Linked DNA regions of Anolis sagrei. The protein of the gene in region 3 interacts with the protein of the main gene of each other region in a biochemical or structural test. Links are inferred from orthologs where the notes say so. Each region holds a gene or a part of one and is shown on either strand. Other genes may lie near its edges. The genes, in order: DNM1, SYNJ1, SH3GL2 and DNM2.

What was found.
Region 1: the proteins of SH3GL2 (region 3) and DNM1 form a complex in vitro, tested with the Homo sapiens proteins (2 studies listed by BioGRID and IntAct, with this or other methods). The link is inferred for Anolis sagrei from reciprocal best matches to the Homo sapiens genes SH3GL2 and DNM1.
Region 2: the proteins of SH3GL2 (region 3) and SYNJ1 form a complex in vitro, tested with the Homo sapiens proteins (2 studies listed by BioGRID and IntAct, with this or other methods). The link is inferred for Anolis sagrei from reciprocal best matches to the Homo sapiens genes SH3GL2 and SYNJ1.
Region 4: the proteins of SH3GL2 (region 3) and DNM2 interact in a biophysical measurement, tested with the Homo sapiens proteins (2 studies listed by BioGRID and IntAct, with this or other methods). The link is inferred for Anolis sagrei from reciprocal best matches to the Homo sapiens genes SH3GL2 and DNM2.

What each region holds. Positions count from the first base shown.
Region 1 is NC_090031.1:16,582,810-16,590,512, forward strand, and holds the start of DNM1 (dynamin-1), read left to right. Parts: upstream 1-4,700; 5' UTR 4,701-4,940; coding exon 4,941-5,101; intron 5,102-7,703. UniProt on the Homo sapiens protein: Catalyzes the hydrolysis of GTP and utilizes this energy to mediate vesicle scission and participates in many forms of endocytosis, such as clathrin-mediated endocytosis or synaptic vesicle endocytosis as well as rapid endocytosis (RE).
Region 2 is NC_090023.1:69,429,298-69,436,825, forward strand, and holds the start of SYNJ1 (synaptojanin-1), read right to left. Parts: upstream 3,025-7,528; 5' UTR 2,921-3,024; intron 2,904-2,920; exon of another isoform or gene 2,776-2,903; intron 1-2,775. Other genes in the region: PAXBP1 (PAX3- and PAX7-binding protein 1), read right to left, coding at 7,474-7,528. UniProt on the Homo sapiens protein: Phosphatase that acts on various phosphoinositides, including phosphatidylinositol 4-phosphate, phosphatidylinositol (4,5)-bisphosphate and phosphatidylinositol (3,4,5)-trisphosphate. Has a role in clathrin-mediated endocytosis.
Region 3 is NC_090022.1:212,488,899-212,496,113, reverse strand, and holds the start of SH3GL2 (endophilin-A1), read left to right. Parts: upstream 1-4,189; 5' UTR 4,190-4,339; coding exon 4,340-4,384; intron 4,385-7,215. UniProt on the Homo sapiens protein: Implicated in synaptic vesicle endocytosis. May recruit other proteins to membranes with high curvature. Required for BDNF-dependent dendrite outgrowth.
Region 4 is NC_090022.1:169,260,454-169,267,924, forward strand, and holds the start of DNM2 (dynamin-2), read right to left. Parts: upstream 3,013-7,471; 5' UTR 2,895-3,012; coding exon 2,734-2,894; intron 1-2,733. UniProt on the Homo sapiens protein: Catalyzes the hydrolysis of GTP and utilizes this energy to mediate vesicle scission at plasma membrane during endocytosis and filament remodeling at many actin structures during organization of the actin cytoskeleton.

The DNA.
Region 1 (7,703 bases), on a different chromosome or scaffold from region 3:
GGCCGAGTAGGATAGTCTTCCAGGATCAGTGTTCTGGTGAGTCCGTAGGTGACTGTGGAGCCCTGTTCTTGATCTGCATCTTCTCTCACAGTGAGGGCATTGGTTTTTCAGGTGGAAAGTGGTCTCGGTCGGGGTTGGCCTGATGCGCCTTCCTCTTAGCACATTTCTCTCTTTCGCCCTCTATTCGTGCCTCTTCAAATTATGCAGCACTGCTGGTCACAGCTGACCTCCAGCTGGAGCACTCATAGAATCATAGAATCAAAGAGTTGGAAGAGACCTCATGGGCCATCCAGTCCAACCCCCTGCCAAGAAGCAGGAATATTGCATTCAAATCACCCCTGACAAATGGCCATCCAGCCTCTGCTTAAAAGCTTCCATAGAAGGAGCCTCCACCACACTCCGGGGCAGAGAGTTCCACTGCTGAACGGCTCTCACAGTCAGGAAGTTTTTCCTAATGTTCAGATGGAATCTCCTCTCTTTTAGTTGAAGCCATTGCTCCGCGTCCTAGTCTCCAAGGAAGCAGAAAACAAGCTTGCTCCCTCCTCCTCCCTGTGGCTTCCTCTCACATATTTATACATGGCTATCATATCTCCTCTCAGCCTCCTCTTCTTCAGGCTAAACATGCCCAGTTCCCTAAGCCGCTCCTCATAGGGCTTGTTCTAGGACCAGGGCTTCCCAGTTCTCAGGCGCTTGCTTCATCCATGTTCAACATATACACAAATGGCCAGCCATTTGCCAGAAGGGACAGAGAGTTTCCTCTATGCTGATGATCGCGCCATCACCGCTCAAACAGGGAGCTTTGAAATGGTTGAACAGGAAAGGGAAAAAATGCACATCACAAGTGCTGAACCTGACTCAGCACATAGAAGATGGTTTTTGAAAGGCAGCAGATTACAGAACCTGTCTCCATATACCTGTCAGTAGCCTATGATACTGTAAATCATAGCCTTCTCCTATCACAAAGGATGGCCACCTCACTCGCTTCATAGGAAATCTACTACAAAACAAGAGCTTTTATGTTGAGTTCCAGGGCCAGAGAAGAAGATGGCAAGTGTGCTTGCTTCATCCATGTTCAGCATTTACACAAATGACCAGCCACTTGCCAGAAGGGAGAGAAAATTTCATCTATGCTGACGATCGTGCCATCACCTCTCAAGCAGGGAGCTTTGAAATGACTAAACAGAAGCTCTCTGAAGCTTTAGGTGCTCTTACATTTAAACAAATGACCAGACACTTCCAGAAGGGACAGAGAGTTTCATCTATGCTGACGATCGTGCCATCACCACTCACGGAGGGAGCTTTGAAATGGTTGAAGAGAAGCTCCCCAAAGCTTGGAGTGCTCCTATTGCCAATTACATCTAAAATGCAGATATGTGCTTTTCACCTTCAGTTCAGGAGAGGCTTATTTTGCATAGAATTATGGAAAAAATAGACCCATTTATGATCTCACATCAAGCTATTTTAGGAAAGGCAAAAACTGCACATCACAAGTGCTGAACCTGACTCAACACATAGAAGATGGTTTTGAAAGGCATCAGATTACAGAACCTGTCTTCATAGACCTGTCAGTAGCCTAAGGCACTGTAAATCATGGCCTTTTCCTGAGAAAAAACATATAATATCACAAGGGATGACCACCTCACCCGCTTCATAGGAAATCTGCTACAAAACAGGAGCTTTTTTGTTGAGTTCCAGGGCCAAAGAAGCAGAAGAACAGCCTGGCTCAGGGGAGCCTCAATCCATGGCTCCATCCATGTTCAACATATACACAAATGACCAGCCACTTGCCAGAAGGGTCAGAGAGTGTAATCTATGCTGATGATCGTGCCATCACCGCCCAAGCAGTGCTTTGAAATTGTTGAACAAAAGCTCTCTGAAGCTTTAGATGCGTTGACTGCCTATTTCAGGGAAAACTAGCTAATTCTTAATCCATCTAAAATGCAGACATGTGCTTTTCACCTTAAGGACAGACAAGGATCTTGAGGTCTAAGGATGAGCTAGGAAGGAATTGCACGGAAGCACTCCCAGAGTGATCTGGGAGTCACTCTGGACCATGCTTTGACCTACAAGAAGCACTGCTTGCCTATCAAGCAAAAAGTGGGTGCTAGAAATAATATTGTATGAAAGCTGGCACAACCTTGGGATCACAACCAGACACAGTTAAGACACCTGCCCTTGAGCTTTGCTACTCTGCTGCTGAGTAGTCATGCCCAGTGTGGAACACATCTCCCCACAAAGTGGATGTGGACGCCCAACACCACTGGAGAAAATATACTGTTTAGCCAATATTGCACCACCTGACATCTGTCGGGAAGTAGCAGCCAGCAATGAAATGACCAAGGCATTGTCATCTCTGGCCCATCCTCTGTTCAGATATCAGTCAGCATCCCAATGCCTTAAATCAACTTCCTGAGATCAAGAGAGATACTCGCAGAAACACCTCAGCAAGCAAGAGTCCAAAAGTGGCAGGCTAAAACCCGAAACCTCAATCCATGGCTGATAGTGGATGAGAGGCTGGGTTGTTGTAGGTTTTTCAGGCTGTATGGCCATGTTCTAGAAGCATTCTCTCCTGACGTTTTGCCTGCATCTGTGGCAAGCATCCTCAGAGGTTGTGAGGATGAGAGGCTCCTTCCTGGGTACATGGAGGACGGGGCGACCTGAAAAGTGCTGAACAGACTGCTCTCTGGCACCAGATATTAGTTTCACACCTGGTGGAGGTCATTGGTGGTGGTTCACGGGTGGGGGGTTATTTAAAAACAAAAGGAAAAAGAGCACTTCTTCCTGTTGTCGGCATCCCTGCAAAAGTGCTCAGGTTGACTCCTGATCTGAGATGCTTCCCTCCTGCCGTGAGATGATGCACGAACCAAACAACAACAGCCAGGTTGCACACATTTCCTTGTGGCAACACAGAGCCCCATCCCCGTGGTTGCTATGTCAACATACATTTGCGTCTCTCTCTTCTGAAAAGCCGTTGCAAAACAAGACAAAGCTGTGGCTGCTGCATTTTGGTGCAAATGGGATCCTGAAGGAGAGCTGAAAGGCACATCTGAGCCTTTCGGAATACTGCTGGAACAGGGCCATGCAGCCCAAAAGACTTGCAGCAACCCAACAAGATGAATGGAGAGACCAGGCATTATTTCACATGCAAACATACTTATATATACTTGCCTCACTGCCAATAAACCTATGAGGGTGCAAAACATCAGGAGAGAATGCTACTGGAACAGAGCCATGCAGCCCAAAAAACTTAGAGCAACCCAATGAGGTGTTTTCTGTTGGTCATGGGAGTCCTGTGTGCTACGTTTGGTTCAATTCCATCATTTATGTGGTTTAGAATGCTCTTTGATTGTAGGTGAACTATAAATCTCAGCAACTACAACTCGCAAATGACAAAATCAAAAACTTTTGAGTGAAGGACATACATTAGGTTGTTAGGTGTGTGCTGTCCAAATTTGGTGTCAATTGGCCCACTGCTTTTTGAGTTCTGTTAATATCACAAACAAACATTACATTTTTATTTATATAGATTACTAACTGTACACGCCACGCGTTGCTGTGGCCAACCTTCCCTCCCTCTTTCTCTCCTTCATTTCTTCTCTCCCTCTTTCCTTCCTTCCCTCTTTTTCTTTCCCTTCTTCTTTCTTCCTTCTCTACCTATTTCTTTTCTTGCTTCCTTTGCTCTTTGGTTCTATCCCTACTTGTCTCTTTCCTTCCTTCCTTCCTTCCCTCCCTCCCCTTTTCTCTCTTTTGTTCCTTCTCTCCTTCATTCCCTCTTTCACTTATTTCATTTTTGCCCTCCTTCTCTCCACCCTTCCTTCCCTTCTTTCTTTCCTTCTTTATCTCCTTCCCTCTGCCTTTCCCTCTTTCTCTCCCTCCCTCTTTCTTTCCTTCTCTCCTTCCCTCTTTCTCCCCCTTTCTCTCCTTCCTTCCTTCTCTACCCTTCTTTCTTTCCTTCTTTCTCTCCTTCCCTCCTTCTTTCCCTCCTCTCCTTCCTTCCTTCTCTACCTTTCTCTCCTTCCTTCCTTCTTTCCCTTCTCTCCCTTCTTCTCCCCTTCCCTCCTTCTCTACCCTTCTTTCTTTCCTTCTTTCTCTCCTTCCCTCCTCCTTCTTTCCCTTCTTCTCTCCCTCCTTCTCTCACCTTCTTTCTTTCCTTCCTTCCCTCCTTCTTTCCTTCCTTCCTTCTTTCTTTCTGTGTATGTTTTGTGTGTGTGTATGCACATGTGTGTATATGTGTGTGTTTGTATATATATATGTGGTTTTGCACATGAGTTGTAATGTTTTCTTTTGGTTTTTTGGCTTTTTAAGTCCCTACCTCTGTGTTTTTCAGTGTTTTTATGAGTGATGGTCACTCATTGGCCTGAGAGGTGTCTTGTGTCCAAATCTGGTGACATTCCCCCAGTGGTTTTTGAGTTCTCTTAATCCCACAAATAAGCATTATATTTTTATTTATATAGATTATTATGATTATTATGATTATTATTCTAACCCAAGGCCCTTCCACACAGTCCTATATAACCCAGCATATCCAAGGCAGAAAAATCCCACATGTATCTGCTTTGAACTGGGTCTTCCAAACATGGCCTAGGATGGGAGGATGCTAACCTTGGGCTGCATCCCCCTCTGCCTATTGAACTACATTTCCCAGGAAGCGCTTGGAGGCGCTGCGGAGGGCGCCCTCTGGCGGCGGGAGGCGGGACAGCGCGCTGTCTTTGCGTTGGGAGCCAGTCAAAGCAGTCAGTGCTGCAGCGGGAGGAGGAGGAGGAGGAGGCAAGCCTATGGATTAAGCGGGAGGAGAGAGAGGGAGAGAGAGAGACGGGGAAGGGAGCCCTTGTTGCAGGCCTGGGGGAGCCGGCCCGGGCTTGAGCCTCCCCAGCAGACTCTCTTGTATTGGGACCAGTATTTGGCCAGCTCCCTGGCGGGGCTGCTAAGCGGGCGCAGCCATGGGCAACCGGGGGATGGAGGACCTCATTCCCTTGGTCAACCGGCTCCAGGACGCCTTCTCCGCCATCGGGCAGAATGCCAACCTGGACCTGCCCCAGATTGCCGTGGTTGGCGGGCAGAGCGCCGGGAAGAGCTCCGTCCTGGAGAATTTCGTCGGCAGGTCAGTCTCTCTATGCATCTCTCTCTCTATTTATGTGTATGGCAATCTCTCTCTATCTCTATCTGAGCCTGCTTTCTCCATGCAGAATGGCTCCCTCTAGTGGCAGTGCAAGGGATGGCGGAGAGGATGAATGCAAGGCTTCCATCCCGGCTCCATCCATCCATTGCAGATGCTCCCTGGTGCCAGCACCAACCCTAGGAGGCAGGCCTGTGATTGACAGCCGGGGTTGCCTAGCAACCCCACCCCACCCTCTCCCTCCTGCCTTCCCTCCCCAAGCACAGGCTCAAACAGAGGCATTGCTTTTCTGCAAATCTCCAGGGTAATAATAATAATAATAATAATAATAATAATAGTAAAAATAATAATTCAGAAATTAAATTGGGAATAAATAATAATAATAATAGTTGGATTTTAATTCAGAAATTAAACTGGGAATAAATAATGATGATAATGATAATTGGATTTTAATTCAGAAATTAAGTTCTGAATAAATAATGATAATAATTGGATTTTAATTCAGAAATTAAATTGGGAATAGATAATAATAATAATAATAATAATAATAATAATAGGATTGTAATTCAGAAATTAAATTGGGAATAAATAATGATGATGATGATAATTGGATTTTAATTCAGAAATTAAATTGGGAATAGATAATAATGACGATAATTGGATTTAAATTCAGAAATTAAATTGGGAATAAATAATAATAGGATTATAATTCAGAAATTAAATTGGGAATAATAATCATCATCATTACTTGGATTTTAGTTCTGAAATTCATCATCATCAGGATTTTAAGTCAGAAATTAAATTGGGAAAAATAATAATCATCATAATCATTTGGAGTTTAATTCAGAAATTAAATTAGGAATAATAATCATCATCATCATTTGGATTTTAATTCAGATATTCATCATCATCATCAGGATTTTAATTCAGAAATTAATTTGGGAATAAATAATAATCATCATTTGGATTTTAATTTAGAAATTAAATTGGGAATAATCATCATTATTTGGATTTTACTTCAGAAATTCATCATCATCATCAGGATTTTAATTCAGAAATTAAATTGGGAATAATAATAAATAAAATAATAATAATAGGATTTTAATTCAGAAATTAAATTGGGAATAATAATAAATAAAATAATAATAATAGGATTTTAATTCAGAAATTAAATTGGGAATAATAATAAATAAAATAATAATAATAGGATTTTAATTCAGAAATTAAATTGGGAATAATAATATATAAAATAATAATAATTGGATTTTAATTCTGAAATTAAATTGGAAATAATAATAATAATAATTTGGATTTGAATTCAGAAATTACATTGGGAATAATAATAATAATAATTCTATTTGGATTTGAATTCAGAAATTAAAATGGTAATAATAGTAAAAATAAGCAGCAGCCATTCTAGGTTTGGGGAGAAGCATGCCTGTTTTTCCTTCTGGAGGGAGGGTGGAGGAGAAGAAATACACACACACATAAAAAATTAATAATAATAATAATAATTTATTAATAGACCTCCCTATCTCTCCAAGGGAACTCAGGGCAGCTTCCAGACAAAAGAAAGAAAGAAACGAAAACATTCAATACCTTGGTAGAAAAGATCCACAAAAATCAAGCAGTAAAAAAATAATAATTAAAAATTAATAAGTGCTCAGCCAAAAATATATATAATTAATAATTGGATAAACATAATGATCTAAACAGATACACGAAGACCATAAAAACCTCAATGACAAGAATGCACAAAAGTATGTAAATTATTTAAAATTTAATAAATAAATTATATATATATATGTTAATAAATAAATAAATAATATATATATATATATATATATATGTATGTATATGTGTGTGTGTGTGTGTGTATATATATATATACACACACACACACATTATTTATTTATTAACTGCCTTTTCTTTACCCTGCTCTATCTCAACCTTGGAGGAGCTTCCAAATTGGCAATCATTCAATGCTGCATTAAATATTAAAAATACAAATACAAAATCATAAATACAATGGCCATCAAAACAATGGCATGTCAATACAATGCATAGACTTGGAAGCATCGTACGTAGACCTGGCATCATAATCCAGAAGCTGATCCAAATTCTGTTCATATATGTATACATACACACACACACACATATATCTTTTGGGGTTGGAGATGGAAGGACGGGGCGGTGGTTGTGTTGTGTTGTGCTCTGCCTCCCCATCCTCAAGGCAAGGAGAGATCGAATGGTGTTAATCCCAAATCATCCTGGGATTGCTGAGCTGAGTCTGGGCAACATTCCCCTCCCATTGCTTCCTCTTCCCCTTCCTTCTGTTGCTCCTGGCCTTGGGAAGTTAACCTTGTTGGCTAGGAAGAGAGGATGTGAAGGAAACAGCTCCGTCTGCAAGCAAAGCCCAGTCCTCAACCCCCATCGTTACGTAATCTCAAGAGAGGAGAGAAATATCAGAAGGGTAAAAGGGGGGCAATGCAGGCAGAAGCAAATCTTCATCATTTTCGATTGGGCCATTGCAATTCCTTCCAGGAGGATGCAACGTCAATGCAACGTTGCTCTTCTTGCAATGATG
Region 2 (7,528 bases), on a different chromosome or scaffold from region 3:
CCAAGGGGACTGATAAATACCAGATAAATGTAGTTTCTGGTTGGTTGACAGTTACTATTAAACATAGGCGTAACTAATCTATACCCCATAATATAACATAAACTCTGTGTTAACTTGATATCTATATTGAAACACGGTAATTAAAAATAAATAAAGACAAATAAAGACAAACTTAATGTAACATAGTTTTACTGTACAGTCAAGATTCCAAGTTTCAAACATCTGACTTACAAATGACTCCTAGTTAAGAATGAGGCTGAGAGAACAGGAAGGGAGAGAAATCTACCCCTAGGAAGGGAAATTCACTCATGGGAGAGTTGATGTAAGGGTCCTGATGGCGCAACGGGTTAAACCATTGAACTGCTGAATCTGCTGACCCAAAGGTTAGCAGTTTGAAGCTGTAGGTTTGGGTGAGCTCCCGCTGTTAGCCCTAGCTCCTTCCAACCTAGCAGTTCGAAAACATGCAAATGTGAGTAGATCAATAGGTAACACTTTGGCGGGAAGGTAATAAAAGGCGGCCATGCAGTCATACCGGCAACACAACCAGGAGGTGTCTATCTGTGTATGTCATAATCTATTCTGAATCTCCTCGGGGAGATAGAGCAGAAGATAAATAAAGTATATTGCTATTATTATTATTTATCATAGGGAAAAGGAGTCTCCACTGAAACTTCTTCACCAATCCTTGTTTCCACAACAAGCCAATTTTTTTCAAAATCCAAATCCCACAGGGACAGAAAGTGAGATGAAATGTTCTGAACAGTGGAACACACAGCAAAACAAACACCACAGGGGTGTTAACCATTCTCTATGCTATTTAAAGCTATATATTTGGCTGGAGTTACACTGAAAATGTTCTAACTTACTTACAAATTCAACTTAAGAGCAAACCTACAGAACCCAGTCATGTCCATAACTTGGAGACTGCCTGTATTATAAAAACAGCCTTGTGGATGCAGTATTATTTTCCTCAGTGTTTTGCTGGTTGCTTGAGAGTCCCAGATAACAATGGCCCCTTCCACACAAGCTGAATAAAATCCCACACTATCTGCTTTGAATGGAATAAATGGCAGGGTGGACTCAGGGCCTTTCACACAACCCTGTATCCCAGAATATTAAGGCAGAAAATCCCACATTATCTAAGTGTGGATTCAGATAACCCAGATAAAAGCAGATATTGTGAAATTTTCTGCCTTGATATTCTGGGATATAGGGCTGTGTGGAAGGGCCCTCAGATAATGCAGGCCCCTTCAAGCCAGGCCCTTTATCCCAAGATCCGGTTATTGGTTTACTGCTTTAAACTGGATTATATGTGTCCGCACTGCCAGGTAATCTGAGAAAAACAGAAAACCTGGGATCAGATCCTGGGATAAAGGGCCTGTCTGGAAGGGCACTCGGGGACTTTCCACACAGCCCTATTTCACAGAATATCAATGCAGAAAATCCCACAGTATCTGCTTTGAACTGGGTTATCTGTGTCCACACTCAGATAATGTGGGATTTTCTGCCTTGATATTCTGGGATATAGGGCTTTGTGGAAGGGCCCTGGGTTATCTGCGGGCCCTTCCACGCAGCCCTAGATCCCAGAATATCAAGGCAGAAAATCCCACATTATTTGAGTGTGGACTAGGTTATCTGAGTCCACACTTAGACAATGTGGGATTTTCTGTCTAGATATTCTGGGATATAGGGCTGTGTGGAATGGCCCTTAGTTCAAAGCAGATATTGTGGGATTTTCTCCCTTGATATTTTGGGATCTAGGGCTGTGTGGAGGGGCCCTGAATCCACACTCAGATAATATGGGATTTTCTGCCTTGATATTCTGGGATCTAGGGGTGTGGAAGGGTCCCGAGTCCACTCTCAGATAATGTGGAATTTTCTGCCTTGATATTCTGGGACATGGGGCTGTGTGGAATGGCCCTTAGTTCAAAGGAGATATTGTGGGATTTTCTCCCTTGATATTTTGGGATATAGGGCTGTGTGGAAGGGCCCTGAATCCACACTCAGAAAATGTGGGATTTTCTGCCTTGATAGTCTGGGATCTAGGGCTGTGTGGAAGGGCCCCGAGTCCACACTCAGATAATGTGGGATTTTCTGCTTTGATATTCTGGGTTATATGGCTGTGTGGAAGGGTCCTAAGAATCTCCTGTGCCTCACTTTGCCTAAAGGCAGAGCCAGGGCTAAGTAGCAATTTCAACCCCCTCCAACAATGTGTGTTTATACATTGCACAATAACTAGATATTAACATCTGGATATAAACATCTGATTCTTTTAAAATCCAGCGAGATTTTAAAAGACGTGTTTTGAAGAGCCGTCGCAATTCCATGTCAGAGACGCCGCCTCGCCTCGGTGTTGAGACGGAAATCGATTTCTTAATGAACCGCAGGCCAAAGAAAACATGATTACTAATGACAGCAGTAATGGAAGCCCAGCTGGGAACTGCCTCAGAATTTGAGAGCAAGGAAAACAGCATCTTGGGAGCCATACACAGAAACACCAAACTGGCAGGCTTCTCCCCCCATTGGGGGAAAAGGGGGCCTTCCTGGGTTCCCGAAGCGAGGCCTGGCCTGCGGGGTCTTTCTGGAGATGGGGACCCTTCCCTTCCCTTTCCCCAAGACCGTCCCCCAAGGCTCCCCATCTCCCCGTTTCCTCAGAGAGCATAGCCAGCGGTGGACGCCCGGCTTTCCACGCAGGCGATAAGCTTTTGCCAAGGCGACGCTGATAATCCCATATACCGAAGGCCTCCCTCCTTCCCTCTCCCCATCCCTCCTTGCCGTGACAGGCCGGCGCTCACGACTCCTCCATCTTGGGATTCCCTCTCTAACGGCTCCCCCGGCCCAGGAAGGGGCCCGAGTTCCTCCCAAATAAGAACTGAAGCAGAACGGGCGCCTCGGAAGAGATGCGGAGTCCTCCCCTTACCGGCCACCTCAGGGAGCCTCTTCGTGCAGCCGCTGCCTGAGGCGCTGGCCTCACTTCCTCTCCGGCGGGGCCGCCGCTTCCGCACTGCCCCGCCCCCTCCCCTCCAGACCGGAAGTTGTGGGAGGTGCGCGAGGACAGGGAGGGAGGGGCGCCCTGTCTCCAGGGAAGGAGAGTCTTCCTTCACCGTCTACTTTAGAGCAGGTGTGGGCCAACTTGGGCCTTCCCTCCAGGTGTTTGGACTTCAACTCCCACCATTCCTCACAGCTTAAGCGGCTGAGGGGGAAAAGGAAAAGGCCTGAGGCTGTGAGGAATGGTGGGAGTTGAAGTCCAAACACCTGGAGGGAAGGCCCAAGTTGGCCCATGCCTGCCTTATAGTCAATCTAGTTGTGGCTTTCTCAAGAGGCTCAGGCAGCAAAAACAGACCGTGCTTGACCTTGGTGTGTGTGCTTGTGGTTTGGCCTGAAATCCCTTCTTGCTGTCAGGAGGCAAGATGGATTGTTTTGGAACATGACTAACTGGAAAACACTACCCTCCGGAGGCGCATCCGTTTCCTTTCAGAAGACCTGCTGACTCAGCAAATTGGCTGTTTTTTTTTAAACGCAGCATCATTTTTTTGTCCACATTTCGCCTTCCTCTAAGCCAGTGATTCTCAACCTTCCTAATGCAGCGACCCCTTAATACAGTTCCTCATATTGTAGTGACCCCCAACCATCAAAATATTTTCGTTGCAATTTCATAGCTGTAATTTTGCTACTCTTATGAATCGTAATATAAATATCTGATATGCAGTATGTATTTTCAATAACTGGGACCAAATTTGGTACAAATATCTGATACGCCCAAATATGAATACTTTGTCATTTCAGAGTTGCAGTTGCTGGGATTTATAGTTAACTTACAATCAAAGAACATTCTGAACTCCATCAATAATGGAATTGAACCAAACTTGGCACCAGACACCCATGACCAACAGAAAATACTGGAAGGGTTTGGTGGGCATTGACCTTGAGTTTTGGAGCTGTAGTTCACCTACATCCAGAAATAAATGCACCCTATTCCAGAAGTTACTGGACTGTTTGGGGCTTTTAAAAGTGCTTTAAAACAGTGATTTTCAGCCTACTTCGGAAAAAAAAGTGGGAGGGTAAAGTAGGCCCTCTGTATCAATGGATTTAATCATGTATATTTCTTATGTGGTTTCACAGCGAGTTAAACTGCTGAACTTGCTGATCAGAAAGTCAGTGGTTCAAACTCACAGATGGGGTGAGCTCCTGTTGTTAGCTCCAGCTTCTGCCAACCCAGCAGTTCAAAAACATGCAAATGTGAGTAAATCAATAGGTACAGCTTCTGCGGGAAGGTAATGGTGCTCCATGCAGTCATACCAGCCACATGACCTTGGAGGTGTCTACAGACAACACCAGCTCTTTGGCTTAATAATGGAGATGAGCACCACCCCCGACTAGACTTAATGTCAAGGGGAAACCTTTACCTTTACTAGGATTTAATCCATCATTCCATAGCATTTACATTATTTCTTATGTTTTCAAAAGGCAGGCCTTGATTTTGTTATTCTATTTAAGGGACATCATTTTATTATGCCATTGTAAATAATATGACTTGACCATTGATGAATTCATAACACAGGTCCTGGAATCAAACTGAACAGATACCAAAGCCCCACTCTATGTGGCTTGAATCGGAAAACCCCACATTTTAGCATGGATTGCCATTCAAGGTCTTGGGAGGAGTATGTGGCCCCCAGGACCACTGGAAGTAGGTAGTGATTACAGGCATGAAGAAAAAAAGTCTATTGCCTGTATATTAACAAAATGTTTTATTGCTGCTGGATAATTACTTGTGACAGATCTGTCACACTACATAATCCTGTGATGTTTCTTTTTTAATGGTTTGACTTAATGCTTTTAACATTGTGCACAAACTGAAGGTCAGAGTAGGAAGGCTTCACATACTAACTCTATGACACCTCTCTACATCAGTCATTGTACTCCGATATTTAATTTCTGCCAGCACTGCTTTCTGGCCTATTCTTTCTAAGAGCTTTAGGACTACCGCCACTGTCTTGTTCTATTTTTGGGTGACACAAGTTACTTAACGTGGAAAGGTTATGCCAAAATTAGATCTAACCAGTTGTCTGCATGCAGACAGATATCAAGTTTAGAGTAATGACTCATTAGGTTTTAGAAACCCAAAGTACAGGACTTTTGTACCTGTACCTTTTTAGAAATTGAAATAGCAAAAGTATGCAAACCAAAAGTAGACCGGGTACAGCTACTTGTCACTTTCTCACTTATATCCAAACAGTAGAATAATTTCATAAATAATGTAAATGCTTTCATAAATCAGTACTATTTCATTCTCTTAACATAAAACACTAGGATGTTTTCAATTAAGAATCTCTTCCCTGACTTTTGTACCCAGAATTTGTTTTAAGAGAATATAAAAGAAGTTGTAACTTTTTTTTCTGTATAGCATAAATGTTTTATATAGACAGTATATTCTTAAAACAGATGTGCAAATAAGTGGAGCTCTATATATTATTAGAATAGAGCTCCTAATCTGTATGAGAACCCTTGTTCCTTTAACAGGAATGGGCAATCTTTGGGCCTCCAGGTGTTTTGAACTTCAGCTCCCACAATTCCCAACAGCTGGTGCCTGTCCTATAATAAAGAATTTAATTGATGTTGGTTGCCTGGGGCTGCTAATTAAATATGTAAGACTGATCGCCAAGCAAATCTGTAGAGGACTATAATAGGTTTTCACTCAAGATTACCAGCTTTAAAATGAGCAGTTTTTAAAAAAGACTGTCTGGGAGACTTGACATAAATTTAAGCACCACTCGTCTTAAAATCAAAACCTATGGAATTAAGTTTGAAAATAAGCAGTGCTTGATTTTAAATTGCTTCGTCAGCTTTGAACAACAGTGAGCCGATCTTTATACTAGTTTAGGACATAGGCCAAAGTGCTAACACAAGAGTGCAGCACTGTCACTCAGCTTTACCTTGTATGGCATGGACCTTATTTACCACCTCATTGTGCTTGAGAACGGCTTTTTAAAAATCACATGGCAGCCTAAATAGAAAGTAAATGCTTCGGCAAGAATGAATCAGGAAGGGCTGACATCAAGTATATGAATAGTTAGGATAGAAATCTGCTAAATCAAGGTAACATGAGAAAATATTTCCAATGGAAGTTAGTGATTATCAAACATACATTAATTTAGCAATGTTCTTTTCAGAATAAAAATTCTGTTTACATAGTGAAATACTGTATATTCTGGGGTTTTACACAACTGGGGCTATAAGACGACACCCCAACTTTAGCACACAAAATAGAGAGTTGGGGATATGCTCACCGTTTAAGACGACTCCGCATTTTCTGTCCTCTACGCCAGGTGGTTTCTGTCCTCTACGCCTGGTGTGTGGTTGCCCCTGGGCTGCTTCCTGCGCCACCTCCAGAAGGGCCTCCCGCGCTGCTCAGACCGCTCTCCTTCTTCCTGCCGCCATGGCATCTCTGCCTCCCAGCCCCGTCAAGCCTTGCGAGAAGCGCCTCTTCTCCTGCGAGACAAAGTTGTCTCGCGGGTGAAGAGGTGCTTCTTGCGAGACCTGGCCAGGAAGGAGAGCGGCCTGAGCAGCGCGGGAGGCCCTTCTGCTCAGGCCGCTCTCCTTCCTGGCCAGGCCTCGCAAGAAGCACCTCTTCTCCAGCGAGATGTCTCACAGGAGAAGAGACGCTTCTCGCGAGGCCTGACCAGAAAGAAGGAGTGCGGCCTGACCAGCGCGGCAGCCAGGAAGAGAGGAAGGACGGGGAGCCTGCCATGAGCCAAGGCAGTGGAGGAGGAGGAGGAGGCGGAGGCGGAGGGGAGCCCGTGGCCAAGGCCCTCCACACCAAGAGGCTCTACCGGTAATTTTATTATTAATTTTATACCCGGCGTAGTAGACTCCGCAAATTTTATAAGGTTTTACATGCCTAAAAAGTCGTCTAGTACCCCGGAATATACAGTACTTTCACTACAAGGAAATGCATTTTACTGTGAACCCCCAAGGACTGTTATGTAATTGCAATTGTTAATTTTTAGTTATTATCATCAATACACAAACAGAGACCAAGGATATTGTTTTGGAAATTTCTTTACTCTGAGCAGGGTCACACCATATACATATATTTTGGACCAAATTCCACCAACTGAAATCTTACTTTGAAATCTTCCATTATCTGAAACACAAATTTGAGGGCTATACTATTTGCAGATGATCTGTTAATGAGCTTTATACTAAGGAATTTCCTGTTAATGGAAGGTCATTCAACTGAATAGATGGCGACAATGGAGTATAAAAGTCTTTGTAAACAAGATGGAGGTGAAAATTTTCCTGGCTTCCTTTTCATTTTCTCAGAGACATCAATGCTAGTATAGATGCTGTATATAAGAATGCATTTTGTATTAAAAACAATCCATAGTTTACAGTTTAATAAAACTTTACATATGTACAAAATTACACTTCAGGAATGATTTTTATATCCCAGAATTACATGGCAAAACTTTATTTCCCCTCACTTTTTAACTCTTTCACATTATGATCATTAGCCACGGTCACA
Region 3 (7,215 bases):
CTTTAGAGGCTTCACTGAAACAAGATATAAATGGATTTTCCCTCCAGAATTCTGTGTTTTCGCTCTCGACAACATTATTTGCAGTGTGCATGTACAGTACATGCGTATGTGAAATGTCATCCTTAAAGTTTGCTTCTCTTTATTGCATTCAATGAAGTAACTCCAAAGACCCTCACAAAAGCAAACTACTTTTTGAAATGAAGCTACCCTGAAATGAAATCGTCCTGGATAGCAATATTTGGGGGGAGGTGGACAGAATATTAACAAAAATAACAAGAAGCAATGATTTATTGCATTTCAGCTGGATAAAACACTTTGTGTTTGATCAAAAATAATAAATGGTATCTTTATTGACACAACCCTAGTCCTCTTGATGGCTGCCTCTCAATTCTGGGACTCCCCATTGCCATGTAGTTGAAAGGCTAAACTGTCTTTATTCCCACAGGCTATTAAAACAGCAGGCTTTTAAAGACTGGACCAAGTGGTGTGGTGTCATTTTAAATGTACTATTTTAATAGCTTTTTAATATTTTCAATTGCCTTTTATTCGTTTATCTAGAAATTTGAAAAATTTTAATATTATGACTACTTTAATTCTGTTTTCATGGTTACTTTTGGTATGTTTTCAACTACAATGCTCTTTTAAACTATAAGCCACCTTGAGTCCTAGTTCTGGGAAGAAGACAGGATAAAAACAAATAAGTAGTCTCTGAGGGACCTTCCACACAGTCCTCTATCCCAGAATATCAAGGCAGAAAATCCCACATTATCTAAGTGTGGAGTCAGATAACAGTTCAAAGCAGATAATGTGGGATTTTATACCTTGATATTCTGGAATAGAGGACTGTGTGGAAGGGCCCTCAGTTGCTTAAACCCATGGGGATTGTTAGATACCAGAATAACGCAGTTTCTGGTTGCTTGAGGGTTTAATGAAAAATCGGCCTCTTACTATACCCCATACTATACCATTGCATAAATTCTGTATTGTCTATTATTATTATTGAAAAGCAGTAATTAAACCTCAATTAAGGGCCCTTCCACACACCCTAGATCCCAGAATATCAAGGCAGAAAATCCTACAATATCTGAGTATGGACTCAGATAACCCAGTTCAAAGCAGATATTGTGGGATTTTCTGTCTTGATATTCTGGGGGGCCTTCCATACAGCACCTTTATTGCGGTATCTACTGGAATAAAGGAGGGGCTGTCCAGACAATGTCTGGACAGTCCCAAATTAATTCCCTACAAACCAGGAAAACCTTGTTTTGTAACAAATTAATTTAGTAGTGGATTTATTCCACGCTTTCTTGGAAGGCGTGGGATAAATCCATTATTTCCAGGTCTGGACTGCAAAATACTGCAGTCCAGACAGTATTCCCACAGTTTACTGGGCTATATAAGCCCAGTAAACTGTGGGAATACCCCCCCCCCCATGCGCTTTCTGGTGTGGTTGTCCAGATGTTCCCTTGGGCGCCCTCCTCTCCTCCCCCCAAATCCCCAGACCCCTTAGAAAAGAAATAAAAACTTTTGTGCCCTCCATTACAAGAGTCAGCCAGCTCTCCCGGTGCATACAATGACATGCCAGGAGAGTGTGTGTGTTTGTGTGTGGGAGAGCTATCCCCCCCCCCCCCCCCGGTGCATTATTTCTCCTGGCATGGCGAGGCTTGTAATGGCTTTCTGGGGTGGGTGTGGACAGGCCCCCAGAAACATCCATGTTTGGGATAAAGGCCTGACTGGATCCGGCCTGGGATATAGGGCTGTGTAAAAGGGCCCTTAGACAAATAAAAACAAAACTAATGTAATATTTCCACCAAAAGCAGCCAAGCGCCTCTCCTCTAGAGTAAGAAACAGAGAACTTGCCTCCTTGCTTTGGAAAGAGTGCTGTCTTCTCTTCTCCAAGCGAAATATACTCTGCTCCCCAAGTCATTTCTCATAAGGCTTTTTTTCCTGACTTTTAATCGTCTTGGTCATTTTTATTTGGGCATCTTCCAACTTGTCAATATCCTTTTCGAATTGCGGTGCCCAGAACTGAACACAGGTGAATTTGGACCAAAGCAGAACAGAATGGTACTACAACTTCCCTTGATCTGAATGCTATGCTGTTGTTTGAGATAGCATTGCCCGTTTTTGGCTGCCACATCATACAGTTGACTCATGTTTAGACCCTTAGATCCTTTTTGCTTGTACTGTTATCAAGCCAGGTATCACCCATACAATATATGGGCACTTCATTTTTCCTGCCTACATGTAATCCCTTAAATTACTCCATGTTGAAATTCATTTTGTTAGTTTTGACTCAGCTTTCTAATCAGCCAATGACATTTTGTTGAATATGTTATTATTATTATTATTATTATTATTATTATTATTATTATTATTATTTCTTCATGCAAGGAAACATCCTGCAAGGAAAAAAACATGGAAGAGCTACACTTAAGAAATGACAAAGACAGAAAAAGATAACATATAAAGAACTTTATTTTGAGAGGCCATACATATATATAACCCTTCCCTCCTCTCTTCTAATGACATTGTACACTTCTGATAACCAAATAATATCAATTTTCAAAATAGTTATCAAATCATTTTTGTCTTTCCACAAAAAGTGTGTCAAGGGCTTCCAATCATTTGCAAATCACCCTAATGATTTTCCCTAATCAAGCCACATAATTCATCTCTAGCAGGTCATTCAGTGTAAAGGACATTTTGGATTCTTGTCCTCTGGGGTATTAGCCACCCCTTCCTAATTTGGCATTATCTGCAAATTTGCTAAGGATGACTTCTACTCCATCATCCAAGTCATTGATAAAGATGTTGAATATGAAATAGTGCTCTATTTCATATTGCTCTCCATCCCTAACTTTGTCATATGGCTTTGTACTTTATCCATCAACTCTGTCCTCACAACTTATTTGCACCTGTCTGCCCACCCGAGAACAGAAGTGTTTATTACTCAAACCACTGGTTTTTTTTTGCTTGATGGTTGTTTTATATTGTGTTGAGTTGTTGTTTGTTTTATATTGCTTTATGACTTTGTTTTATGCATTTTATTGTGCTATATTTTAACTATGTTGATCGGGTTTGTCCCCATGTAAGCCGCCCTGAGTCCCTTCGGAGAGATGGAGGCGGGATACAAAAATAAAGTTATTATTATACTGACACAAAAACACAGTATGTCACAGCAAATGAGATCTCTGTGCTGGATTTCGTATCACAAAATCACAAGTTGAACACTTCCCAAGCGTCTAGGACTGTGTGATGTATTTTTGAATGATGCGTGCAGATCCAAGTAAGGTGGCCTTTTGCAGTTGACAGATTGTGATTTTGTCAATGTTTATTGTTTCCAAATGCTGGCCGAGATCTTTTGGCACGGCACCCAGTGTGCCGATGACCACTGGGACCACCTGTACTGGTCTATGCCAGAGCCATTTCAGTTTGATTTTGAGGTCCTGTTGTTTTTCCTCCATGCAACTGTCACCTGGTATAGCAACATTGAAAATCCAAACATTTTTCCTTTCCATAATCGTGATGTCTGGTGTATTGTGTTCCAAAACTTTGTCAGTCTGGATTATTATTATTATTATTATGACCCCCAGTGATGCAGTGGATTAAAGTGCTGAGCTGCTGAACTTGCTGACGGAAAGGTCACAGGTTCAGATTTGGGGAGCAGCGTGAGCTCCCATTGTTAGCCCCAGCTTCTGCCAACTTAGCAGTTCAAAACATGTAAATTTGAGTAGATCAATAGGTACTGCTCTGGCGGGAAGATAACAGCACTCCATGCAGTCATGCTGGCCACATGACCTTGGAGGTGTCTACGGACAACACCGGCTCTTGGGCTTAATGGAGATGAGCACCAACCCCCAGAGTCGGATGTGACTGGATTTAATGTCAGGAGAAAACCTTTCTCTTTAGCTTTACCTTACATCAGGTATATCTGGACAATATGGATTTATTTCCAAACATTCCTACCAAGTTTTAGGACCAGAGCAGTCCTGGTCACTCCGGTGGAAGATACTGGGAAAAGGAACAGGAGGGAGTATAACTCTTTCCATTCTTCCACAGTCAATAAAGCTGCTTACCATGTCCTCTCATTGCCAGAGAGGCTGCTTTGAAGCTCTTTGCTTGACCCAAAAGAGAGAGGGGGGTGGCTGTCCCTTTAAGAGGCAGGGCTGCCTGTCTCTGACGTCAGGCGCGCGCTCTCTCTCTGCATCAGAGCATCCCCGCTCAAGCAGGAGGAGGGCAAGAGGGAGGCTGGCACCAGAAGGGACCTTTCCCGCTCCTCCGGCATCCCTCCATCTCTCTCTCTCTCTCTCTCGCTCTCCTTCCACCTACAGCAGAGATGTCTGTGGCGGGGCTCAAGAAGCAGTTCCACAAAGCCACTCAGGTAAGGAAGCCAAGGAGGAAGGGAAGCGGGAGGGAGAGCGGGAGGGAGGGAGGAGAAGCAGCCTTGGGGGCATCCTCCTCGGGTCAAAGGAGGGCGAAGCGCCTTCCTCCCTCTGGTCTGGACAATCTCCTCCTCCTCCTCCTCCTCCTCTCAACACACGCACTCTAGGCTCCGAGGGGCCAGGAGGGGGCGCTCTCCTTCGTAGCCGGGGAAGAGAGCCCGAGCTGGTGTGCGCGTGTGTGTTGCTAGGTTGGGAGTGCGTGCCTTGGCATTAGCCATAGATTCATGGATTGCATGGCGTTTCAAGGCGTCTTCGGAGGTGGTTTGGGCATCTCCTTCTTCTGGGCTCCCATTGGCAGCGCTTCTGGGCTTGGGGAAGGGCCTGGATGGGGGATTCTGGGAGTGACAGTCCCCCCAGAAGGCACCTTTGCTCAGCAGAGCCGGCTTGGGGGGTGGGGGTGGGGATTCTGTGATTGACAGGCGTTCAAGACAGCTTTCTTTAGCATAGCTGGAGGGACGATTCGAGGTGGTTTTGGCATCTCCTTCTTCTGGGCTCCAATTCACAGCGCTTCTGGGCTTGGGGAAGGATCTTTTGGAAGTACTGGATGGGGCATTCTGGGAGCGACAGTCCCCCAAAAGGCACCTTTGCTTAGCAAAGCTGGCTAGGGGAGAATTGTGTGATTGACAGTCCCTAAAGACAGCTTTCCTTCACATAGCGGGATGGACGATTCAGGGATTGGGTTGCTGTGAGTTTTCCAAGCTGCATGGCTATGTCCCAGAAGCATTCTTTCCTGATGTTTCGCCCACATCTATGGCAGGCATCCTCTGAGGTTGTGAGGTCTGTTGGAAACAAGGCAAGGGAGGTTGACATATCTGTGGAATAATGTCCCAGGTGAGAGAAAGGACTCTTGTCTGTTGGAGGCCAAGGTGAATTTTGCAATTGGACACCTTAGATTAGCATTGAATAGCCTTGCAGCTTCAAAGCTTGGGAGGTTGATATATATGTGGAAATTCCAGGGTGGGAGAAAGAACTGTTGCCTGTTACAATTGAGCATCTGGATTAGCATTGAATAGCCTTGCAGCTTCAAAGCTTGGGAGGTTGATTCATCTGTGGAATAATGTCCAAGGTGGGAAAAAGAACTCTTACCTGCTGGAGGCAAGTGTGAATGTTGCAGTTGATCACCCTAATTAGCATTGAATAGCCTTGCAGCTTCAAAGCCTGACTGCTTCCTGCCTGGGGGAACCCTTTGTTCGGAGGTGTTAGCTGTCTTCAGAGTGTTCTTTATTTACTGTCATGATTTTAAGAGATTGAGGGATTGACAATCCCTTTCCCCCCATTTGAACTTGATAGTAGATTGACAGTCCCAAAAAGCATTTTGGAGGGATCTGCAGATTGCAGCGTCTGGAGCAAAGAGATCAAGGGTGCATCTAATTAGGCAAGGTGTCTTGGGAGGTTGTTTTGGCATCTCCTTCTGGTCTCCAGTTGACAGCACTTCTGGGCTTGGGGAAGGGTCTTTTGGAAATGCTGGATGGGGGATTTTGGGAGTGACAGTCCCCAGAAAGGCACCTTTGCTTAGCAGAGCCGGCTTTGGGGGGGGGGGGATTCTGTGATTGACAGTCCCTAAAGACAGCTTTCCTTAGCATATCTGGAGGGGCGATACAGAGATTTACACTCAGTCCCTTTTCTCTATTATAGCTGGATAGATTGACAGTCCCAAAAGCAGTATTGGGAAGCTCCAGATTGCAACATCTGGGGCAAAGAGACCAAGAGTGGGTTGCTGTAAGTTTTTCGAGCTGTATGGCCATGTTCCAGAAGCATTCTCTCCTGACATTTCACCTGCATCTATGGCAGGCAGCCTCAGAGGGGACCTCACAACCTCTGAGGATGCCTGCCATAGATGCAGGCGAAACGTCAGGAGAGAATGCTTCTAGAACATAGCCATAGAGCCCGAAAAGCTTACAGCAACCCAGTGATTCCGGCCATGCAAGCCCTTGACAACACATTGAAGAAGGGTGCATCTTGCCTGGTAGAATGAATGCAGTGTGATCCCAATGGCTCAATGCTATAGAAGCCTGGGAGTTGTACAGGCTCTTTATTTTAGCCTCCTTTACCAAAGAAGGGCTTCTGCCTCCTCAAATCGCCATAATTGTAGTTTGGTGCCCGACTGCATGGGTTCTAGAGCATAAGGGGTTTCTTGGAGGGGTTGTCTTCGGCCAGGGAGACTCGAGAGGTGCCTCTTGCCCTTGCCTTGCTCTGGAGTCGGTCTCAGATCCGAGCAGGCAGAGCTGAAGCAGGGAAGGCACTGTGTCAGGGCAAGGCTGGCATCCCTTTGGCAGGGAGGGAGGCCTCTCCTTTCCTGCGCCAGGCTGCCTTCCGCAGGATCTGGACCGCGTCCCGGGTCGGAGACTTTTGCCGCAGAAACCCAGGGAGGGGGCACCGCATTGCCACCCCTTCCACACACAGCAAGGAGCCCGACCTGGTTACTCCCCTTTTCAGCATGTCTCTACCCTTCCTTGTGGCTTGGTTCAGCCTGGGACTCCCTTTCTCCCTCTCTCCTGCTGATCTTTCCTTGCATTGGAGCTCCCTCGCCATTGCGGCTCTTTACGGGGAGATTGGGGGGAGGGCTTCCTCCTCTCCCAAATCAGATGGAAATATTTCCAGACCTCCGCCAACTCTCTCCCTCCCCCCTTCCCAATTGTCCTGGATGATTATGTAAAAGTCCTCCTCCAATGACCTTCCTTCTAGTGATACCTACATAGATATAGATAGAGATACTCGGGAGCTGGGCTTTCCTCTCCTAAATAGTCCATTCCTTCTGGCTCTTGAGTCC
Region 4 (7,471 bases), about 43 Mb from region 3:
ACAAAATGGGGGACGCCTGGCTCAAGAGCAGTATGTGTGAAAAAGATCTTGGAGTCCTCGTGGACAACAAGTTAAACATGAGCCAACAATGTGATGTGGCGGCAAAAAAAGCCAATGGGATTTTGGCCTGCATCAATAGGAGCATAGTGTCTAGATCCAGGGAAGTCATGCTACCCCTCTATTCTGCTTTGGTTAGACCACACCTGGAATATTGTGTCCAATTCTGGGCACCACAATTGAAGAGAGATATTGACAAGCTGGAATGTGTCCAGAGGAGAGCGACTAAAATGATCAAGGGTCTGGAGAACAAACCCTATGAGGAGCGGCTTAAGGAGCTGGGCATGTTTAGCCTGAAGAAGAGAAGGCTGAGAGGAGATATGATAGCCATGTATAAATATGTGAGGGGAAGCCACAGGGAGGAGGGAGCAAGCTTGTTTTCTGCTTCCTTGGAGACTAGAACAATGGCTTTCAACTACAAGAAAGGAGATTCCATCTGAATACGAGGAAGAACTTCCTGACTGTGAGAGCCATTCAGCAGTGGAACTCTCTGCCCCGGAGTGTGGTGGAGGCTCCTTCTTAGGAAGCTTTTAAACAGAGGCTGGATGGCCATCTGTCAGGGGTGCTTTGAATGCAATATTCCTGCTTCTTGGCAGGGGGTTGGACTGGATGGCCCATGAGGTCTCTTCCAACTCTTTGATTCTATGATTCTATTGTTTAAATTAATGTTCTATTTATTGTTTTAAATGTGGTTATATTGCTTTGTTATATTTAATAATATAACGTACCTTGGGAAGGCTGACTTGGCCACGGTAGTACACACTTTGGTTACATCCCGCTTAGATTACTGCAACGCTCTCTACGTGGGGTTGCCTCTGAAGACTGCCCGGAAGCTGCAGCAAGTACAACGCACGGCAGCCAGATTACTAACGGGTGCTGGGTACAGGGAGCACACCACTCCACTGTTACACCAGCTCCACTGGCTGCCGATTAGCTTCCGAGCACAATTCAAAGTGCTGGTGTTAACCTATAAAGCCCTAAACAACTCCGGCCCTGTTTACCTCTCCGAACGTATTCTCCCCTACGAACCATCAAGACCACTAAGATCGTCTGGAGGGGCCCTGCTCTCGGTCCCACTGCCTGCACAAGCACGGCTGGTGGGGACGAGGAACAGGGTCTTCTCGATGGTGGCCCCTCGACTTTGGAACTCCCTGCCATTAGAGATCAGAACTGCCCCCTCCCTCATGACGTTCAGGAAACTAACAAAGATCTGGTTATGGAACGCGGCATTTGACAACTGATTTAATTCTTTGCTCACATGAAAGGAGGATGATGAATGGTATTGTGATGGTGTCGGACGATTTGGCTCTTTTAACTGTGATGATAATGTTTTAATCGGTGATCTCAAGACTGGACTACTGTAACGCCCTCTACATTGGCCTCCCTCTGTCGGTGATTCGGAAGCTCAAGTTGGTACAAAATGCAGCTGCTCGGCTTCTTGCGGGAATTCCGATGAGATGCCACATAACACCAATCTTACTACAGCTGCATTGGTTACCAATTGAGCACCGGATCACTTTCAAAGTGATGGTACTCACCTTTAAGGCCTTGCATGGTCTGGGGCCAATGTATCTGAGGGATCGTCTCACCCCCTACCAACCCCAGAGATCCCTCCGTTCTGAGGACCAAGATCTATTGGAAGTCCCCAGTGTCAAGACCTTGCGTCTAACAGCAACCAGACGCAGAGCCTTTACAGCAGTGGCACCATCACTCTGGAATACTCTGCCACCTGAAGCCCGTGCCTTGCGGGACTTATCAGCTTTCCGCAGGGCATGTAAGACATACCTGTTCCGACAGGCTTTTAATGTTTGATACTGTTGTTTTTAAATTGTTTTAAATTGGTTTTAAACTTTGTTAGATTTTAGCTATTCTTGTAAGCTGCTCCGAGCCCCAGGGGAGTGGCGGCATATAAGTTTAAATAATAAATAAATAAATAAATAATGTGTATGGTGCTGATATTTTAATCGTGTTATGAAGTGCCATTGTGTTGTTATTGTATATTCTTTGTATGTTAACACATGTTGTGAACCGGTCCAAATCCCTCTTTGAAGGTGAAAGGGTCGGTATATAAAACCTCGAAATAAAAAAAATAAAATAAATAATGACATCAAATTGTGCCAAATGTAAGCCGTCCCGAGTCCCCCTTCGGGGGTTGAGAAAGACAGCGTAGAAATGCTGGAAATAAAATAAATAAACAAAATAACCTCAGAAACAGGCCTAAAAGCAAGATATCAAGAAAAGAATGTTGTTGTTGTGCTGTGAATATGCAATGACAAGTGTCATTATTGTGTGTGGGGGAGTTTAAGCAGAGTGGCGTCGAATGAGGAGGAGGCCCAAACTGCACCTGCTGCTGAGGGAGGCACAAAGGTTGCTGTAATCCTCGCCCGCCCATTCCACACACTCACAGACCCACAGGGCGCGAGGACGAGCCAGAGGCCGGGAGAGCATCCCCACAAAGCTTGCTTCTCCCGCGCGCGCCCCTCCCTGCCCGCCTGCCTCGCGCGCCCCTTACGCAGCTGACGCAACTGGCGCACTGAGACGCCCTCACTACGGCGGAGGGGGCTATTCACAGACGGTGCGTGTGCCCAGCTCCGCAGCAGGCGCGCGTGCGCGGCATTCTCGGCAGGCATTTCCGTAAACTGCGCCGCATTCTGCTCAGAGCCCTTTCCCACTCACCGGCCTACGAAGTTCTCCAGGACGGAGCTCTTGCCCGCGCTCTGTCCGCCGACGACGGCGATCTGCGGCAGGTCGAGGTGGCAGCTCTGCCCGATGGAGCTGAAGGCATCCTGCAGCTTGTTAACAAGCGGGATCAGCTCCTCCATCCCTCGGTTGCCCATGGCGACGGCCTAAAAGAAAGCGGGGAGGGCGCTCCTCCGCTTCCTCGCTCAGCCCCCGGCAACAAGCACCAAACTTCCCCCTCGGAGTCTCCTCATCCGGCCTCAGCGACGCCCCGCTCGCGCCTCCTACCGCCCCGACTCCCTTCCCATTGGTCAGCGCAGCCATCACTCCGTAGCGGTAACCAATAGGGAACGAGGATCTGGCGGACTCCCGCGCTGATACGGCGCTGTTGCATCGGCCCGCCTCATTTCCGGTTGGCGTTCTAATTGGACGAACTCGCCTGTCATTCGGCGCTCCCTCTGCGGCTCACCCAGCCAATAGCCGCCTCCGGAAAGTGGTCAAACTGCATTAAACCCCGCCCCTTTCTCTCGGGCGCTGCTCCCCATTCGTAACCCTTGCTCTCCTCTTCAAACAACGAGTTATCTATCAAAGCGGCGAGCCCCGCCCGCTGCGCCTTTTTCGCTTTCTATTGGCCAATGTTTCTGTCACTCAGAGCGAGCAGCCAATCGCTTCAGTAAAGTTAACTTTTTGGAAAGGCGAATGTAATGCTGAACTCAAAAACCACTGGACGAAAGACACCAAATTTGGACACAATACACCTAACAGTCCAATGTATGTTCTTCACTCAAAAAATGATGTTGTCATTTAGGAGTTGTAGTTGCTGGGATTTATAGTTCACCTACAATCAAAGAGCATTCTGTACCGCGCCAACGATGGAACTGAACCAAACTTGGCACACAGTTCTCCCACGACAAACAGAAAATACTGGAAGGGTTTGGTGGGCAGTGTCCTTTGGTTTTGGAGTTGTAGTTCACCTACATCCAGAGATCACTGTGGACTCAAACAATGATGGATCTGGACCAAACTCTACACGAGTACTCAATATGCCCAAATGTGAACACTGGTGGAGTTTGGGGAAAATAGAATCTTGACATTGTAGTTCCTGGGATTTGTAGTTCACTTACAATCAAAGAGCATTCTGAACCCCGCCAACGATGGAACTGAACCAAACTTGGCACACAGTTCTCCCACGACAAACAGAAAATACTGGAAGGGTTTGGTGGGCAGTGTCCTTTGGTTTTGGAGTTGTGGTTCATCTACATCCAGAGATCACTGTGGACTCAAACAATGATGGATCTGGACCAAACTGGGCACGAAAACTCAATATGCCCAAATGTGAACACTGGTGGAGTTTGGGGAAAATAGAATCTTGACATTTGGGAGATGTAGTTCCTGGGATTTGTAGTTCACATACAATCGCAGAGCATTCTGAACCCCACCAATGATAGAATTGGGCCAAAACTCCCACACAGAACAGCCATGTGGGCCACAGCAACGCGTGGCAAGGGGCGGCTAGTATATTATAAATATTATATGTATATACAATATATTATATTATGTTATTAGCTTAGCACAGGAGACAGGAGAAGAGAGAACTTGTAATTCAAACAGGATATATCATATTTACTCAAATCTAATGCTCACCTTTTTGGGCTATATTACCTTCCCAAAATTAAGGTGCACATTAGCTTTGTGTTATACAGTAATTTTAGTGCTGAGCCAAAGCAAAATGGGAAGCTACTTCCGAAGCACCTGGAACTCCTATTTGAGGGACATGATCTCTAATTTAATTGCCTGAGTTAAATGCTATGCAATGCTGGGATTTGTAGTTGGTGAGTCACCAGCATCTTTTGGCAGAGAAGGCTCAAGACTTTGTAAAACTGTGCTGTTCCAGCAGACACCAGCCAACCCCTCTCCAAAGCCAGTGATACAGCTTAATGGTGTAACATTCGAAAATGTTGATCATTTCCGCTACCTTGGCAGCCACCTCTCCACCAAAGCCAACATCGACACCGAAATACAACACCACCTGAGCTCTGCGAGCGCAGCATTTTCCCCAATGAAGCAGAGAGTGTTTGAAGACCGGGACATCTGTCTACAGATGTCACATGCAACTCCTGGAACGATTCCATCAGTGCTGCCTCCGGAAAATCCTGCAAATGTATTTATTTATTTATTTACGGCTTTTATATGCCGCCCTTCTCACCCTGAAGGGGACTCAGAGTGGCTTACAATATATATTTTCATACAATATATTATATTATTAGCATAGTACAATATCAGTATATATTACTATATTGCACTATACCATTATATTGTAATATTATTAGTAATATTACATGTAATGTAAATATATAATTATAATTATAATATTGAATTATTATTACTAGTATTATATTGTATTACATTATAATATTATAAATATTATATGTATATACAATATACTATTATTATATTATTAGTAAAGACAAGATGGAAGTGTCTTCTGCTCCCTTCTGTCTTCGCTGTGGCCAGAGCAGCCGTTGGGAAGACAGGCGGACAAACGTCAGCGTGCTGGAAGAAGCAAAGACCACCAGCATTGAAGCGATGGTCCTCCGCCACCAACTCTGCTGGACCGGCCACATTGTCCGGATGCCCGACCACCATCTCCCAAAGCAGTTGCTCTACTCCGAATTCAAGAATGGAAAACGGAATGTTGGTGGGCAGGAAAAGAGATTTAAATATGGGCTAAAAGCCAACCTTAAAAACTCCGGCGTAAACACTGAGAACTGGGAAGCCCTGGCCCTTGACCGCTCCAGCTGGAGGTCAGCTGTGACCAGCAGTGCTGCAGAATTTGAAGAGGCATGAATGGAGGGCGAAAGGGAAAAGCGTGCCAAGAGGAAGGAGCATCAAGCCAACCCTGACCGAGACCGCCTTCCACCTGGAAACCAGTGCCCTCACTGCGGGAGAAGATGCAGAACAAGAATAGGGCTCTACAGCCACATACGGACCCACAAGAATATTGGAAGACAATCCTCCTCAGGAAACGAGGGATCGCCTAAGTAAGTAAGTACAGCCCCCATGACTCCAAAACATTGAACCAAGGATTCATTCTACAGCACAGATGCACCCCAAGGTTTTCTTTTCCATTGCTGAAAGCTTTGGTGTCTTAACACTTTTGTTCTTAAAGGAGGAATTCAAAGCAGGCAGCCACTATTTTTTTGACCAAATTACAAAGAGTGCACCTTTTGTTACTGGATATTACAGACACCAGCAAATACTTTTTTTAGTTTTAAGGTTTTGAACATTGAGGTGCAGGTAAAATTCGATGGCACATTAGACTCGAGTAAATACGTGTAACCACAGTGACATGATCAGTCATTTTCAGGAGCAGGCACAGCAGGTGCACTAGTTTTATTATACAAATGTACTCCAGATCACCTTTGAAACCTATATATCCAGGCTCAAGGTTGGGTTCAGGAGTACGGGCGAGCTGCAAACACAAGTTTCCAGGGAGAGTGTAACCACACCCAGAATAAGTTGAATATTTATTCTCTGGTGTGCTTTTGTCATGTCTGCATTTCAGCATGAATATATTGACCCTTTTCGGTCCACTGCATACACCACTGGTTTAGCACCAAAGCTGCTTTCCTTCAGTGAAATACTGATAGCTCTGGAGAGGTCATGCTAAACCAACATATCTCTTTGTGTTTCCTTCCAGCTGTTTATTTATTTACTCAATTTCCATCTCACCTTTCAAACCAGAAGATTACATTTTTAAAACCAAGAAAATATAATCTGCCACTATGAAAACAGAACTCCTAGCTGCCCAAGCACAGAAGTGGGGGGAGCCTCATGAAATAGCTGGGCTTCACATATGTGTTTGAGCAGTGGCAGTTAATGCACCTGTATGTCTACTTTCATCAGCTGAACCTCTAAACGTCATGGTGGTATTGCATATTCATTTCATATTCAGGAGGCTAAGATTGAGGTCAAACTCCCTGCCTTCAAGCTGATCTGACCTGCAGCAGGGAGTTCCTCAGTTCTCCATTGCCCCGCTTGGGCCAACCTGCATGAACATGGCCACAGCAGCAGCTGCAATTCAGAAACCTTCTTGTTAGTTTCGCTTTCTTCCCCTTCCTAACATTGTAACTAATCCCCCCAATAAAAAGTATCAATTAATTGTACAGTATATTCTGGCGTATAAGACTACTTTTTAACCCAAGAAAATCTTCTCAAAAGTCAGGGGTCGTCTTATACGTGGGTGTAGTCTTATGCATGGCAGTCGTCTTAACTCTACATTTTAACTGGAAAAGTTGGAGGTCGTCTTATACGCCGAGTCGTCTTATATGCCGGAATATACGGTAACTTTGAGAGCTGGACCTTAGGGAAGGCTGAGCGAAGGAAGATAGATGCTTTTGAGCTGTGGTGTTGGAGGAAAGTGCTGAGAGTGCCTTGGACTGCAAGAAGATCCAACCAGTCCATCCTCCAGGAAATAAAGCCCGACTGCTCATTGGAGGGAAGGATACTAGAGACAAAGTTGAAGTACTTTGGCCACATCATGAGGAGACAGCAAAGCCTGGAGAAGACAATTATGCTGGGGAAAGTGGAAGGTAAAAGGAAGACGGGCCGACCAAGGGCAAGATGGATGGATGGCATCCTTGAAGTGACTGGACTGACCTTGAAGGAGCTGGGGGTGGTGACGGCCGACAGGGAGCTCTGGCGTGGGCTGGTCCATGAGGTCATGAAGAGTCGG